4 linked regions of the Saccharomyces cerevisiae S288C genome follow. The protein of the gene in region 3 purifies or fractionates together with the protein of the main gene of each other region. This does not show direct contact. Each region holds a gene or a part of one and is shown on either strand. Other genes may lie near its edges.

The links.
Region 1: the proteins of REG1 (region 3) and BMH2 purify together in Saccharomyces cerevisiae (affinity purification with western blotting; 5 studies listed by BioGRID, with this or other methods). This does not show direct contact.
Region 2: the proteins of REG1 (region 3) and SAK1 purify together in Saccharomyces cerevisiae (affinity purification with western blotting; 2 studies listed by BioGRID, with this or other methods). This does not show direct contact.
Region 4: the proteins of REG1 (region 3) and SNF4 purify together in Saccharomyces cerevisiae (affinity purification with mass spectrometry; 3 studies listed by BioGRID). This does not show direct contact.

Annotation. Positions count from the first base shown.
Region 1 is NC_001136.10:651,822-654,991, reverse strand, and holds BMH2 (14-3-3 family protein BMH2), read right to left. Parts: upstream 1,386-3,170; coding exon 564-1,385; downstream 1-563.
Region 2 is NC_001137.3:415,385-421,228, reverse strand, and holds SAK1 (serine/threonine protein kinase SAK1), read right to left. Parts: upstream 3,949-5,844; coding exon 520-3,948; downstream 1-519. Other genes in the region: COM2 (Com2p), read left to right, coding at 1-114; VFA1 (Vfa1p), read right to left, coding at 4,759-5,370; small subunit rRNA maturation protein LCP5, read right to left, coding at 5,675-5,844. UniProt on the Saccharomyces cerevisiae protein: Serine/threonine-protein kinase that phosphorylates SNF1, the catalytic subunit of the SNF1 kinase complex. Acts as an activator of the SNF1 kinase complex and controls its nuclear localization upon glucose and nitrogen depletion.
Region 3 is NC_001136.10:497,334-502,595, forward strand, and holds REG1 (protein phosphatase regulator REG1), read right to left. Parts: upstream 3,547-5,262; coding exon 502-3,546; downstream 1-501. Other genes in the region: YDR029W (uncharacterized protein), read left to right, coding at 3,767-4,081; RAD28 (Rad28p), read right to left, coding at 4,420-5,262. UniProt on the Saccharomyces cerevisiae protein: Involved in RNA processing and negative regulation of glucose repression. Regulates the level of two antigens, P43 and P70. Binds to protein phosphatase type 1. Functions with REG2 and SNF1 protein kinase to regulate growth.
Region 4 is NC_001139.9:290,450-293,564, forward strand, and holds SNF4 (AMP-activated serine/threonine-protein kinase regulatory subunit SNF4), read left to right. Parts: upstream 1-1,583; coding exon 1,584-2,552; downstream 2,553-3,115. Other genes in the region: ubiquitin-protein transferase activating protein CDC20, read left to right, coding at 1-1,192; YGL114W (uncharacterized protein), read left to right, coding at 3,011-3,115. UniProt on the Saccharomyces cerevisiae protein: Adenine nucleotides-binding subunit gamma of AMP-activated protein kinase (AMPK), an energy sensor protein kinase that plays a key role in regulating cellular energy metabolism.

The sequences.
Region 1 (3,170 bases), 150 kb from region 3:
TGGTTATTTGACTTTGTTTATTGTCCTCTCTTGTAAGACATACATATTAATGGTCATAGTTTTCCACTCGAAGTATTTTTCCGTTGCGGATTTACGCTACTATACCCCCGCCCCCCTACACCCAGGGAGCGCTGTTTCATCAAATGAGAAAAGATGCCTTCACCTTCAATAGGTAAGGTAGATCAAGATTCAAAGGAAAACAGAAGAAAGAGGTGCGTATACAATGGAAGGAACTTATTTTAAAACATACGAAAATTACTACTCAATTACTCTCGCAAATTGTCTCAACTCTGAACGATAGCCAAAATATAAGAATACACGAAGAAAACAGTGATAGAAGTAATAGTAACAGAAAAACTATTTTATGTTATATATTAAGAAACTATTTTTTTAGAGGTTTGTATATTTTGTAGTTGGTAAAATTGAAAATTTTGTGAATTTGTATTAGACGAAGATATTATCTCTTCCCCTAAAAAAAGTATCAAAATCGAATTGCATTCATTTTCGTTAGCAAGAAAACTGGAGTGGTAAATCTTCATTTCCCCTTGTATTTCTCAGCGCTCTTATTTGGTTGGTTCACCTTGAGTTTGTTCAGCTGGAGCTTGTTGTTGCTGTTGTTGCTGTTGCTGTTGCTGTTGTTGTTGTTGTTGTTGATCTTCTTGACCAGATTCAGAAATATCAGAGGTCCATAAGGTCAAGTTGTCCCTTAATAATTGCATGATCAAAGTGCTATCCTTGTATGATTCTTCAGATAAAGTATCTAACTCAGCAATAGCATCATCAAAGGCTTGTTTGGCCAAGTGGCAAGCCTTATCAGGAGAGTTTTGAATTTCGTAATAGAAGACGGAGAAATTCAAAGCTAGACCTAAACGAATTGGGTGAGTTGGAGGCAATTCAGTTGTGGCGATTTCGGAAGCGGTTTTATAAGCCTCCAAAGAGGAGTTGGTTGCCTTTTCTCTTGCATCTCCGCTGGAAAATTCAGCTAAATAACGGTGGTAGTCACCCTTCATCTTATAGTAAAATACTTTAGACTCACCAGTAGTAGCAGAAGGGATTAAATGAGAATCTAACACAGATAAAATGTCGTCAGAGATTTTGGTCAATTCAGTTTCAATTTTAGAACGGTAAGAACGGATTAATTCAACTTGATGTTCAGATTTCTCCTTTGATTCTTCTTTTTGTTCGATCGAAGAAACTATTCTCCATGAAGCACGGCGAGCACCGATGACGTTCTTGTAAGCAACCGACAATAGATTCCGTTCTTCGACAGATAACTCTTGACCTGATGAAGCAACGGCCTTCATGTTTTCGACCATTTCTTCATAACGTTCGGCTTGTTCAGCTAATTTAGCTAGGTAAACAGAATCTTCACGAGTTTGGGACATTTTTTTTGTTGTAACGGGTACTTTTTGTTGATTTGATAATTTTTCTTTTTACTTCGTTTTGAAATTGTCAGAGTATTAACCTTCTGTCCAAGTTTTCTCGTTCTTTGCTTTTCCCCCTTAATCAATCGAAAAAAATAATGATTAAAAACCGGGAGAGGCAATTTTTTTTGAAAAAATAAGTTAGTAATTGAAATTTGATAAAAAGAACGAATGTTTAAGATAGCTCAAAAGATTTCGTAACCTTTGATGATGAATATTTGAAAAAAAAAAGACTACTGGAGGGACTTATAATAACATTTGCCCCTTTCGACCGACTTTTTCCTCGTATTTCGTGTGTGTCATTTTGCTGATCCGGGTGACACACTACTAATCATTTCGAGCAGACGACCGATTTGTCCGTTCTTCCTAAACAAAAAAGGGACGATTTCAATAGTATTCGCTGTATTATTATCTCTGGTCATATGAATACCCACGCTTGAATTACGGATTGGTCGTAACAAAAATAAGTGTTACCTCGCTGTTCTGACAGAGATAACTAAACATTTCAGAATGCAACATCACACGGGTGGACCTATGTTCTAGTTCTTGTATTAGAAGAAAGCAATCCGCTGTGCTTAAACCAATATAAGATATATATAAAAAAAAGAAAGTGGGAAAAACAAAGGAAGAGAAACTATAACACTTCACTTTCAAGGCCTGTTAAGTTGATATAATTAACATTTTCAGGAGAGTAACATTCATGTCGGTAATAATTCAAATCAGAGAAGATGAAGGTGGTTGTGGAAGGAGCTATTAATGAAACAAGTTATTGAGAGGTAAAACATACGGTTCGATTCAAATATGAATTCTTAAATTTGAAGGTGGTGTGGAAAAGAATGCAATTGATCGCGCTAATTTCAAAAGATAATATTAAGTAGAAATGAGGGAAGAAGCTGAAGCGAAAGATATATAAGTCATCAATATATATAAACAGGGACTTTGTTTATGAGCTCATGTTATAAATACAGATAAGACAGAATTGAGAAAGAGGAGAAAGAGCGATCTATGCGATTCGCCCCCGAATCTTCTCGTCACGGAAGACCGTGCATTTTCTACGGCAGCGGCTATGGTGTAATTGTCATTAACAACGGAGAGTGTTTGAGCGGCTAATTTTCGGTATTCCAAGAGACAAATTTGATTTGTACGAGGTATATGAACGATGCTCACTATATGTTGGAACTTTTGAAACATCTTTGTCTATTTCTCACAGAAATTGATGCTGTGTTACTTCGTTTCATGATTTTTCGGAAAGATACTGTGTAAGGTTATCATATATGAAGCGATACGTGCTGACCATAAAGCAGTACTTCAATAAAACGTTTTCCGAAAAAATGTAGTGTTGGAATGAAATCTTAGTGTCATTTTTTGACTAGTGTTCATGCTAATAATATTTTTTTAATGCAGTCTTTCAGTCTTCTGTTATGTAGTTTTTGTCATGATTAGAACAATTTATTCCTCGAAGACCTTATTCTTCTCATTGATGTTGCCATACACTATGTGTGCCATCTGGAGATTTTTATTAGCTCGTTATGTGAATGACTATTTACTTTACAGAACGATAATGGCGCGCTCATTGTATTAAGACTCCTATAACCTATAGAGTACTATTTTATATTATTGCTATATTATCAAATGAGGTATAAGAAGATTATACAACAATTGAAAAACAGTCATTAGACTTAATGAGAGCTGAATTGCATAGCTAGATAATGTAATAGGATAATGAAGCATGTAAAATAGAAGGAG
Region 2 (5,844 bases), on a different chromosome or scaffold from region 3:
CATGTCAGATCTTTACATATGTGCGAAAAACCATTTACATGCCATATCTGTAATAAGAACTTCAGCAGAAGCGATAATTTGAATCAGCACGTTAAAACTCACGCTTCCTTATGAAATTTTAAAGATACGGAAATTGCAAATTGAAAAAGTTTAATGACACTCACCAGTAATGATTTTGAAACGAAAAGGCACTTCTCAGGGTGAGACGAAGAAACGAAAAGTTTTCTAAGCACAGATACACTTCTCTCGCCGCCCTTTTAATAATTTAGAATAAAAATATTATAGATTTATAGATTATATTATGCTAAACTAAAAAGATCTACATCATATATTATTTTTAGCCTGTTAATGATATTAAGTTCATTGCAAGAGGATTGTAAATCACATGCATTTCAAATACAGAACTTATTTTAACATACACATATATGCGTGCATGTTGGCAAGGGTAAAAAGTTAGAGCTTTCTACCATATATCTGATTAACATCGTAGTCCGATGGAAATTACTTTGAATTTTACACTCATGGAAGTGCACTCCTTCTCTTCTCTTCATTTAGTTCAGCGACTGTTAAAGATCGCGATCTTTCATGGGTCCTTTGTTTTATAGCGCCATTTTCTTGTCCTTTATCACCATGGCAGCTGGTATTTCTAGCATGTTCATCATTACCAACATTAGTACTCATGGTAATACTTGCGTCCTTTCGTCCTCTTATTTTATTTGAAGGTATGGATCTCCTTCTGCCTGCATTAGTGGAACTTAGAGCATCTTTTAACAAGTCCCTTGAATAAAGAACTTTATCGAAATTTTTGTCCTTTCGATGATCGTTATTACCGTTAAATTCAACGATATCTGTTAAATTTGAGGTTTCCGTCGTAGCTTTCTTTTGGTCTAAACGCTTTGGTAATACTAATGGGCCAGGCTTACTAATGGGTTGGCTGCGGCTCAGTGCCTGATGCAGCGTCAAGTCATCCATATTTTGCGGCGTTATCGTCGTCTCACTGTCATGAACACTTCCATTGGAATACATGAAATTATTTGATCCCTTCTGCGGACTATTGGATAGTTCACTAAGTTTTGAAGAATTATGCCTTCTTCGATGACCTGCAGTCCCGACATTTAAAATTAGCTCATCTTCGTCGGAGGATGAAGATGAAGAAGATGAGACAGAAGGTGGTTCGAGGTTCAATGAACTTTTAACTTTCATGCGTCGACATGGTTGTATATCCAGAAACGGCCTTATTTGATCTTCGTTAGGTAAATCTCTTAATAATACTCCACTTCCATCTTCTGAATCAACACCAAACTCGAAAGGTAATGACTCCGTTTCTGAATATGCATTATTGTTGGAGCTATTCCGAGATTGGGTTCCAGATGTACAGGACGATGAAGTGGATGATAATTCAGAATCAGATTCTGAACCAGAACTGGTTACGGACGACTGGCTACTGCTATCATCATCATCTCCATTAAAATGACTGAAAAAGTTTCCTCTACGTACCTCGAAGGTTTTTGAATTATCCTTAGACTGTTTCATCCGTTGGTATAAGGATTTTATAGGAGAATTTTTGGAGCCTGACTTATCGCTGCTATTAATGTTTATTCTCGGAGGATCTTTTATGGCGGGTGTTTTGGTATTTTTCTTTACGGGAAACCTTCTCAAACGATCAGCGTTAGGGTTTTTTGCAGGTGATGGAATTTCTGAATCCTTTGGAACTCTTAGTTCAGTCAATTTCGTTGTTGAGATTTTTGAAAGGCTATTTGGTATTTTCGGTAAGTTTTGGTTGCGTGAATTCATTCGGCCAGTCCTTGAAGATGGTCTGCCGGAGTTGTATGACGTTAGATGAGATGAAGAATTTCTAAGAAGACTATTGTGACTCTTATCATACCGACCTGTTGCACAAAACGATGACTTTTGTTGTGGCAAAACGGGGCGAATTGGACTTGGTTGGTTGGTGACTCCACTAAAGACTGGTGATCGTCCAAGCCTTGTTGAAGACGGTGCAGAAGGAAGGTTTGGTACAGACGAAACCGAATCTCCCGCTTCTGGAGAACTCATTCCCATTCTAGCCATCGCAAAATTATCTATGTAGAAGCTGTCCAAGGATGCAAATGAGGAATTGATAGGTAAATTAACCATATTTCCGGCCTCGTGTTTATCATCGAATTTGTTTAATTCTCGTTCTAGTTCTCTTTTCGTTAAATGTCCATCGTTATCATCACCACTATAATGATCATCGTCGTTGATATTAATATTAGTGTCGCTATCAGTGTTCAAACATCCATCATTAGCACTTAATTCCTTAATATTCGATAACACTGAACCTTCGCTGACAATAACATTGGCATCCCCTCTGCCCCTAGTGGTTTCCGTTGGATGAAGGTAGTTTTTATTAGAGAGATCTGACGGATCCTTTAGCGGGATACTTTTTAGTACGGACTCTTTGATTTTTTTCCCGACACCGGAGACAGCGTTTTTCAATTCGTGCTTTGAAATAGAAATGGGTTCAAATTGATCAGTTTGGTTACATTGGAAACGTAATTTTTGCTCAAGGACAGAAGATAGTAACTTTTCATCGTTCTCCGGTACGTGGTCAAAATCCCATGAAACAAAAGGATGTTTTTTAATGGCAGGTATAGTCATTCTTTTTTGGGGATTTTTTTCTAACAATTTCAATAAAAGGTCCTTTGCCATTTCGTATTCCTCCTCACAAGATACTTTAGATACTTTGTTGGACTGTATTTCTTTAAATGTTGGAAATTTTAACGGGTCGTTTACAATTTTTTCAAATAATTTGAGCTCAAAATCAGAAAAAAAAGGCAGCATTCCAAAAAGAAGACAGTACAAGGTCACACCCACAGCCCAAATATCTATCATGAATGAGATGCAAGAACCACGAAATAAATTTTCCTTTGTTAAGTTATACCTGGTGAATGCATCTTCACCCAAGCACATTTCGGGAGCAAAAAATGCAGGCGTGCCCACTGTTTTGGCTAATTCTAACTCGTCTAAGGATTCGCTACTATCGGAACTATTCGTGCTGCTAGCAGCTAAAGAAACACCAAAATCGGAAATCTTAACAGTGCCATCTCCTGATATTAATAAGTTGGCAGGCTTAATATCTCGGTGAATGATTCCTTGGTAATGGAGATATTCTAAGCCGAGCACAACGCCTCTTAAAATCTCTCGCGTTTCTTGAAAACTTAGTAAAGAGGGACCCTTAGCATCTGATTCCATACAATCCGGTGGACACCATTTTACCTCGCCTCGAGAACAATACTCTAGAACTAAATAAATTTTTCTTGATTTTAAATCATCCAGAACTTCTATCAGTTGTACGACATGTTTGTGATGGCATTTTTTCATAATGGCAATTTCTCGTTTTATTTTATCATTTTCGGATATTTTACTTGATTTGATAAACGTGAAAAACTTCCTCTGTTTCTTTTCATGTCTATCCACTATTTTAATCGCTACTAATTGCTTACTCAATATATCTCTTGCTAATTTTACTTTTCCATGTTGTCCATGGCCTAATTCTTTGATGATCTCATAAGTGTTTAAAACTTTCCTCTTTGACACCGGGTCGTATGTTAGAGATATTCGATTAGTTTCCTTAACTTTATTCTTAGAACTCCCGCTCGAACAAAATGATGAAGTCGTTGTCGGGGTCTTAGCTAGTGAACTACTTATATGCTGTTGGTGCTGTGGATGGTTTAACTGCCTTACTCTTTGCCGCTCTAATAGCATGTTGAGGGAATCTACCGATGAAGACGCTATTGATGCATTATCTCTTGCACCTTCGGCCATGCCCGCCAAATTGGTAGCGCTACTCTTAGTCGGGCTTCGGAGTGATACACTGCTACTGGTGCCTGATTTTTCTAATTCTATTTGTAAGTTTGAAGGTACATTGACCTCTTCGACGTTAACTTTTTTATCACTCCTATCCATGTTCAAAACTCCTTATTAATATGCTTCTTTTCGTTTTATCTTAATCTATAATTACAAATTCTTACTGACAAAAAATCCAAATAAAAAAAAAGGAAACCGGTACTGTCTTAAAACATCAATTACTTTCCAAAGTAAATCTTCAGGTCACAAGGTATACTTCACTTAATGCCGCCTGATATAATCACAATGCAAAAATAAGGACAACCAAACGTGTTAACGAAGTGCTTTTAAAATTGTGACTGGATAAATGAAAAATGTCAACTCCTTAAATAAAGAATATGTAGTCAGTTCAGAAGTGAGATTTAGTTTGATCAAAATTCGTTACCTAAACTTTTTCCATATGCTAGTATGTTGCCACCTGCAGAAATAAATATAAGACTTTTTCTAAACAAAATGACTAGTCTTTAAGCGTCAATTGACTCCCTTTCCAAAAAAAAGAGTAATACGTTAGCTTTCTACGCTCAGTGATGAATATGAAGGGAACGAAGGAACAAGCCGCTGTTAATTTGAAGTCGTTCAACGATGATTATTTAACTTGATGAAGCACCATTTGCCTGCTCTCAACAGCTTGTCAGAAATACAAACATCACTCACACTTTCTGCCTTCCCTGGAAAGAAAGAAAAAAATTAGCTACAATTTAGTCGCTTGATACGTGTTGATTTTATTTTGTGATCTTTAGAATGTGATGAGCATTTAGCTTTTGGTTACGAACCATGAATAGATAATCCATGGTGAGTTTTATATACTATATAATCAATAGTTCATGGGTATTAGGCCATAGGAAGAGGAACGGTCCAACCGTTGCGTCCTTATTTTGGAACGGAGGGGAACACGTGTTTTCGAAGCAGTTCTTCAGGATCCGTATTAGAGTAATTCTCTTGCTCCTTGAGGTATCGTTCGCGATTTACTTGTTCTGTTCTTTTTCTTAGGAGTCTGCTTTCAAACATGATTTTTGCTAGTTCGTATTTTCTGTTTTTCCTTTGCAGTTCTGTAACTTTGTCAAGTATTTTGCTGTACTGTTTCTTTGTTTCTGACAAGATTTCTGCATCGTTCTTAGCCTGTGGAGATGTATCAGTAGAGTCGGTTGTAGTTGGATCAGGGTCTTTAGAGTTATTTGTCTCCTTTTCTTTCTTGGAGAATATTTTAGTAACCCAACCATCCCAGGACCCTAATTGGGTTTGAGCTGATGTCAGACTATCCATTTTCCCCTTTACTAGTTTTAATTGAGCCACGGCTTCATTATACTCTGTACTATAGAGGGGAATGACAAATTGTGGATTATCTTGTAAATGTATTTCGCATGTATATAGCCAATCTGGACCAGATGCGTTGTAAAGGACGGTAGTGGATGGTTTGCTACAGATCGCACATGGTTGCATGTCCTTTAGAGCGACCTTTCTGGCAACGTACTCATTTATCATTGTATATATACTATATCGTGGCACTTCTGGTGTGCCTTATTCCCACTATATTGTTAATTTATGGCGATTTAGTCATGTTCTGCTTAGGACTATAAAAAAAAAAAAGAAAAAAAAAGGTAGAGTTTATTCTGGAGGGACTAATAATCATAAAGGCAATGGTGCCTAAACCTCTCACACGTTAATGTCGTGAAAGCCAAAATTCTTGTTTTTAATAGCTTATATACCAGTGCCCTTCATTTATATTTAACTTTTAAATATTAAGTCTATAAACGCTTTAGGATATAAGAAAATAAACTTTTTGTATCTACAGTCTCCTTTGAGCTCTATCCCAGGCAGAACGAGTCTTCTTGGCCCCACGTCTCGAAGTGCTATCTTCCAGCTTCCTCTTTGAGCTGAATATACCAAAATCTTCACCACCGATAACGTTCATCCTTGCATTTCTTTCTCGTTGCTTTTGCTTCCTTTTTTCAGCTT
Region 3 (5,262 bases):
CCAAACCTTTAAATTGTTTTAATACTGCTTTAGGATATCAATACTGCCAATTACTGTAAGCTCTGCCTAAAACAAAGTTGTGCCTAAAACAAGCCGTGTCGTAGTTTGTTTTGTTTACTTTCTAGACTGTTGTGTGGTGTCTTCTTTATAAAGGAAAAACCCTTTAAAGATCGAAGAAAACATTGATTGTACTCTATCTGAAAATCATTACCCACGAACATATCTTAGATCAGCTGCGTTTAATTGCTAATATATAGAACACACATACGACTATGGAAGCTCAAGAAGTTCTTGTACATAAGTACCAAATATTGTAAAGGTATAAAGAAGTTTTGAAATCTGGAGCGAATTTAATTGTGTACGTAAAATAACTGCTTCGCTGTCTACATTTGTCCTTGACAATGCCAGTCGATTACAGCTTACTTGGATCCTAAAGACGGCACTGATCCACACTACCTGGATTTTTATTTTCTCTTCATGTTGACTTCAAAATTCTTTCTTCTAACTGCTGTCATTTCCATTTTCTTGTGGCTTGACGTCACTCTTTTTCCAAGAGTGCAAGTACTTGCTTGCCATACCTCTTGCATTCTGCACCACTTTGTGTAAGCTTTCATTACTCGAATCCGTCAAAGACGCTTCTTTTCTAGTGGTTTGCACGCTATCAACTTTCTTGTCCTTTAGCTTACTAGCATTATTTATATGGCAGTTTTCAAATCCTTTTGCCAAAGTGTCCATTTCTGAGTGATCTTGATGGTCCATCATATTTCCCCCGGAAACAACAGACTTGATAGATTCATTTCTAGGAGAGAAATAACCCTCTATGGCAACATCACTCGCCCCCACTTCGGCTGGTGAAGGAGTATTATTTACAATTCTAAAGCTTTGTGAACTATCGGACGCTTTTGGCTGCTTTGGAAGGGCTTTTTTCTTCTGAGATGATATGTTTGCTGGTGTCACACTGCCTTTCAATACGCTTCGATTAACCAGCTGACTGTTAGCGGGTAATGGTCTTTGTTCCTCCTCGCTGCTACTCTCTTCTTCACTATCTGAATTGAATATGAAGTTCCCTGAAGAGGAATTGCGCTTCAACGGATACGGCCTGACAGCCAGTTGTGCATCTTTGTCTACATCAGTTTTACCCCCTGTAAAATTAGTAGGATTTTTTTGTTGAGGAGTTGCCGAAGAGAGTGATGGTTGTGCTAGATCGTACAAAGAATTGGTAGATCCTGATTTCCCAAGTGACAATGTTCTCCTCAGTGAAAGTCCTTCATCGTGGTTATCGTCTACTTCTTGGTCATCGTCATCTTCTTCCTCTTCGTCGTCGCTACTATTGTATTGTGAGTCTTCAATAAATTGCTGTTCGCTATCTGATGAAGAGCTGTAATTGTCGTCGTCATATAATAACATATGCGATCCATGTTGACGTGTTGTATTATTTGCTGAAGCTTTGTGTAGTTGTGGAACATGTTTTTCCTTGGATTCTACCGCATTGTTAAATTCATAGTTTGATGCATTATCATCTGCAATGGCTGTTTGTAAGTCCATTCCTTCAGGAACATCTACAATGTCACATGAATCTACTGGTAAAAAACTGGAAGTATCACCAGTGTAGACCGAGTTATAATCGTATATGTAATCATAGCCTCTGGAGGTATTGACGTTATGTGACACAGCATTACCATACCCATTAAATTCGCCATTATCAGATTCTTCGTCTGATCCATAATTCAAAGTGGTATCAGGAAGCAACTTTATTATGGGACGTACATGAGCTCTGGAAGTAGTAGATGAAGCCACAGAGGAATTATCTGTTATTGGTGAATGAACTCCAGAGTCAGACCTCCTGGAAAATCTTGCATTTATGTAAAGGCCGCCGTGTTCTTCATCATCAGAATGTGATGAAGATGATGATTGTGAGGATGTATCATCGTCGCTAGTATTTTTGTTCAAATGTTCAGTTGCGGAGTTGATAGGAATAGATTTATGCTGAATGGCTAGCAATGGAGTCCTATTGTTGTTTATTGTTGTAACGTTCGCATTGTTATTAACATCAACATATTGTTTATTTTCATCATCGCTTTCATCATCCTCCGATTGTGAAGCTGGATATCGTAGTGCCATACATTGTTCCACCCTGTCATTAAAATGTATATGTCTATTTTTAGTAGGTTTGTTAGATTTTTCACTTGGGTTTGAGGTTAATATTGATGATAATCCCATGGAATTGTTTTCATTATCTCTATTGGAGGAAGATGTTGAGGAGGGGAACCTATTATTATCAGGAGAATTTAGGTTTTGATCCAAGTTAGCCTTACGATCATTGGTACTATTTTCTAGTATGCTTTTGTTTGATTGTGCCGTTGACCTATTGTTTTGAACATGAAGCGCTGACTTTAAATGCAGGTCTTCTTCTCCCTTGTCACCGCCACCATTTGAATTTTCTCCTACAGGATTCGGTATGGTAGAATTATCTTTTTTGTCAGAGTGTTGACTCTTCAAACTAACGCTACTGTTCGATTCTTTGGGATAATGGTAGTACTGGGCGTTAACTTGAGCGGCCAGAGCATCGAAATCGTCATGGACGTTTTTGTTGCCATTGGGATCCATTATTACCGAAGCATGTTTCATTTCTGTCATGTGTTTTCTTGCCTCATTCAGTTTCCATAAAGCGTTGTCCTCTATAATTTCTGTGACGGTTCTCTTCTTCAAAATTGGTTTCGGAGCAGCTGCGATCGACTTTGAATTTTTAGTGGGCATTGAAATTCTCTTGGAATTTTCATCATCCGAACCATATCCTCTTTCTAGATCATGTTCTTCTTCACTTTGGGCATTACCTTCAGAATCTCTTACAATAGGGCCATATAGCCAAGTCACATCAGAATCTTTTGACCAATTAACCACTTCAGGTGACACTGTTTTCAAGTTGTTTCTTGCTTTTGCCCATGTTCTCCATGAGGCATTTTCTAACCTAGCAGCATTTACTAGATCAACATCTCTTTTCTTTTTCTTTAGGATGATATATTTCCAAGAATTAGAAATTTCTGATTCTTTCCATTCATGTGACAGATAGTCAACATGTCTTTCTGGCTCTACCACTACGTCATTATCATCTTGTGGAATTAAGTAGCTATCATTATCCGCCGGCGGTGGAGAAACGGAGGTTGAGTGTTCCTGATAGCCGTCATCATAATCATCATCTGAAGAATTGCTTGAAGAATTATTAGATGAGTTGTCATAATATTCATTGTCGTTATCATATAAGTCGTCTGACCTTCCTAGCAATTTCTTGGTAGGGTCAATATATTCATCAAGAAGGCCCATTGATCTTGTTCTTTTAAGGTTGAAAGTTGATTTATGGAAATCATCATCATTTTTCGCTTGAACAGCCATCGATACTGAAGGCCCCATATCTTCGTCGTTGTCGTTATCGTTACCACTAATTTTGACATCACTTTTGCTATTACTTTCATGGCTCGCATTTCTATTTACATGCTCGTTTTCAATATCTTTCTTACCGGCGAAGTAATTTGCTAGATTTGTTGACATTTTTGGATTTTTCTTATCTCGTCTTCGTCAATATGCTTGCTTTAGGATTTATAATCTTCAAGGATATTATCTTTTCCCCCTTGCTTTGACTTTTCAACGTTCGTACAGAACACCAGGTGTGTGGTTATACGTATAACAGCCAAAAGCTAGCCCTCGTAAAACTAGTATACCAATTAGTTCTCTTTCAGGAGGTGGTGTTAAAAAAATAAGAGAGATAAAGATGAGCAAATATTATATCTTGATAGAGCTGATGAACGATAAAAAGAATACTAACTCTAGTTGTGATATTTTCTCTTTCTATTTAAATTTCAGCGATAACCCTTTCTCAAGCTTTCGTTTGAAATCGCGTCTCCTATATGGTATATTCTCCTGTTTTCTCCTTTTTTATTCCTTAAAAGACCTGATAGGGGTATTCAAACAAAAGTATTTATATTTGTCTATTCTTCTTTTATGGCTTCTTGTTCTCCTGTTCTGTCTTGCAAAAGGCTTGTCACACAATCTCAGGGCTGATTCCTTCCTTCAATATCCACTGTGAGTTTAAATGCAAACAAAAATAGAGTGAATAAAAAAAGCTTTCGGCCCGGAATTGGTTAACCCGACTTACCAATATTATGTCAGAAAAGAGGCTACAGCTGAAACTAAGGTGAGGTGGTAAGAAATGCTCTCTATTGAAAAGTATGCATGAAGTGGAGGATAAGAGGTGAAGCGGCTTGGTAAAATATACCTGCCAAGTCTGAGATGAAAGCATTTGTATATAGCTATTAGTTGTATATTCGTGTGTAGCGATATACGTTTCCGGGTAATACAAACCTACATTGGTTCAATTATAAGAGCCGCGAAGACTATTATCATATTCTATACGGCATTTATTACTTATGAACATTCAAAGATGGATCCGCCGTCGCTAACGGTGTTGTTGTTAGTTCCAAAGAACAATTTGAGGCCAACTGAATTCATTATATTTGTTTGCACAATCATGGAACTAAACTGACAATGCGAAGCCTGATTTTTTTTTACCTGATTAACCATTGGGTATTCGAGCTTGTTCCAAAGTTTTTTTTCCTCCGTATTGTATATTTCTACTTCACCATTGTCAGTAATACACAGTAAAAACTTGTCAAACCAAAGCAACCTTCGAGATACTCTTTTTTTGTATTTGATACGGCTCAGGTCTTGTGTTCCCAACTGGGAATAACTAGCTAGACCTTCTGGTTGCAGAATTTCCGTAAATGGCCTCCAAACATTCAGTTTTCCATCCATGCCGACTGAACATAGCTCTGAACCCTCACTATTCCAAACAATGTCACTGCAACATCTCAGATGGGCTTTTGATTGGTTAGAGCTGAAATAGACATCGCTTTGATCGTCATTATCATCGTTATTTATAGTCTTGAACCTATTTTTATTTCTTTTCAATTCTGAATACAGTCTGTTCCTCATTCTTAGATCCCATAATTTTACCCCACCCTCCATGTCACCACAAGCAATAATCTGTTCCCTGACGGGGTTAAATTTGCAGCATAAAATTTCTGATTGCATTCGTGTTTGATTTCCCATTCCAAGCGCAGTTACCCCTGAATTCATGGTTCTCAGGTCAATTAATCTTGGATAGTAGTCTTCACTTGCCACTACAAGCAAAGAACTGTCGTCGACAACGTTATTATCAATTTGATTTATTTTATACCCCAGGTTTATATCTTGAACCGCTTCAAACCT
Region 4 (3,115 bases), on a different chromosome or scaffold from region 3:
CTTGAGACAAAAAAGCTATATCATGAAGAAAAGAACACATTATAGTTATCAGCAGGAACAAAAAATTCCTGATTTAATTAAATTAAGGAAAATCAATACCAATCCGGAAAGAATTCTTGATGCACCTGGTTTCCAAGACGACTTTTATTTAAACTTGTTAAGTTGGTCCAAAAAAAATGTCTTAGCTATAGCACTAGACACTGCATTATATCTGTGGAATGCCACCACTGGGGATGTTTCCCTGTTAACGGATTTCGAAAACACCACAATATGCAGCGTTACGTGGTCTGATGATGATTGTCATATCTCTATCGGTAAAGAGGATGGGAACACCGAAATTTGGGACGTTGAGACCATGTCATTAATTAGAACTATGAGATCAGGCTTAGGTGTCCGTATCGGTTCATTGTCTTGGTTAGATACTTTGATAGCTACAGGCAGTCGTAGTGGAGAAATTCAAATCAATGATGTCAGGATCAAACAGCATATTGTATCTACATGGGCAGAGCACACAGGCGAAGTCTGCGGTTTGAGCTATAAAAGTGACGGATTGCAACTTGCATCTGGTGGTAATGATAACACTGTAATGATTTGGGATACCAGAACGTCCTTGCCTCAATTTTCCAAGAAGACGCATACTGCTGCTGTAAAAGCACTAAGCTGGTGTCCATATTCGCCAAATATTCTAGCCTCTGGAGGCGGACAAACAGATAAACACATCCATTTTTGGAACAGTATCACAGGTGCACGAGTTGGCTCAATCAATACCGGATCCCAGGTGAGCTCTTTACATTGGGGCCAAAGTCATACGTCAACCAATGGTGGTATGATGAATAAAGAGATTGTTGCCACAGGAGGTAATCCAGAGAATGCAATCTCTGTTTATAATTATGAAACAAAATTCAAAGTTGCAGAAGTAGTTCATGCTCATGAAGCAAGAATATGCTGTTCTCAATTGTCCCCTGACGGAACCACATTGGCCACAGTGGGAGGAGATGAAAACTTAAAATTTTATAAGATATTTGATCCAAGATGTACAGGAAGATCGAGAGAAGACGGATTGATGGATGGTATGCTAGGACTTATTGGCAAGGAAGGTTGTCGAACAAATGATAAGGAGAATCGTTCCAAAAATTCGAGTGAGATTCATACAAGGAGGCCCTCTAGTACCAGCCAATATTTGATCAGGTGATAAAATAAAAAAAATAAAAGTTCATGTCAAGGCATATAATGAAATTTCCATACACGCATACATAATGTATAAACATAAATGTATTCAAGAAGCTTAAGAAATAAAAGTAATGAACCTTGAGAATACATCAAGATATAACTCATCACATGTTAAAGAACCCACACACCACACGCGCGAGAACTGGGAGGGAGAGAAATTTAGCAAATAACAAAATTTAGGCCTTGGAAGAAACCATAGCAATGCAATAATCGTTATTAACATAATATCTACATTGAGAACTTCTTGGGCTAGTGGTTTTGCTGCAAACTGGAAAATTGTATCAATCTTTTAACGTTAGCTAAACATCTTCTGCTGTGTTAGCATTAGGAGGAAGCGAAAAGGAAAATACATAATGAAACCGACACAGGATTCACAAGAAAAGGTTTCTATTGAACAGCAGTTAGCTGTAGAATCGATAAGGAAGTTTTTGAACTCGAAAACATCTTATGACGTGTTGCCTGTTTCTTACCGTTTAATTGTCTTGGACACCTCGTTGTTAGTGAAGAAATCACTGAATGTTCTTTTGCAAAATAGCATTGTCTCTGCGCCATTATGGGACTCCAAGACTTCCAGGTTCGCTGGACTTCTAACTACTACAGATTTTATTAATGTCATCCAGTATTACTTCTCCAATCCAGATAAGTTCGAATTAGTAGACAAATTACAGTTAGATGGATTAAAAGATATAGAGCGTGCTCTCGGTGTTGATCAACTAGATACAGCTTCAATTCATCCTTCTAGACCCTTATTTGAGGCGTGTCTTAAGATGTTAGAATCAAGAAGTGGTAGAATACCACTGATCGATCAAGATGAAGAGACACATAGAGAAATTGTCGTTAGTGTTCTTACGCAATATAGAATTCTGAAGTTCGTTGCTTTAAATTGCAGGGAAACACATTTTCTAAAGATTCCAATTGGGGACTTGAACATTATTACGCAAGATAACATGAAAAGCTGTCAAATGACCACTCCGGTCATAGACGTCATTCAGATGCTTACCCAAGGTCGGGTTTCTTCCGTCCCTATTATTGACGAAAACGGCTACTTAATCAACGTATATGAAGCATACGATGTCCTAGGCTTGATAAAAGGAGGCATCTACAACGACCTGTCATTGAGCGTCGGAGAAGCCCTTATGAGGAGAAGTGATGATTTTGAGGGTGTTTATACATGCACTAAGAATGATAAATTATCTACTATTATGGATAACATCAGAAAAGCAAGGGTGCATAGATTCTTTGTAGTTGATGACGTCGGACGGTTGGTTGGTGTCTTGACGTTAAGCGATATTCTCAAATATATCCTTCTAGGTAGCAACTGAAACGAGCCGATGAGATTTTTGTGTACATACTATAAATAAATGCAACTAATAAAGTCATGATTAATCAGTCATGCATACTTCATCTGACCAATATATTTTCATCTTGCTTATTTTGGGTATAATTCGGCGGAAATTCGGTTATAAAGCGAAGTGAAAAATCGATTAGTAATGATACTGATGCGATCTCTGGGAGGGGGGAATGCTGCATATAAGGGTGAAGGAAGATAATGCAAAGCCTTTTGTAGTATTGTCTGTTGATACCAAAATAAATTAGTTCATCAAAAAGGTACAGGCAGCTAAAGAAAAGCTGTAAATTTAACGCCGTAGAAGGTATTTTTCGTGAGATCTATCTCAAGGCATCATTTTTTTTATTTTCGCACCAAGATAGGAAGAAAAAGAGTCACAGTATAGAGGACTAACCGTTAAAGATTCTAAATCGGTACTGTAAATACTTTGAAATGCCTCAATCTACTCCAAGTCAAGAAGTACAGCGTGTACCATGGGATAATAAACCTGCTTTGAAGCAGATAACACTCCGAGCAACCATAGCAGGTATCGCTATA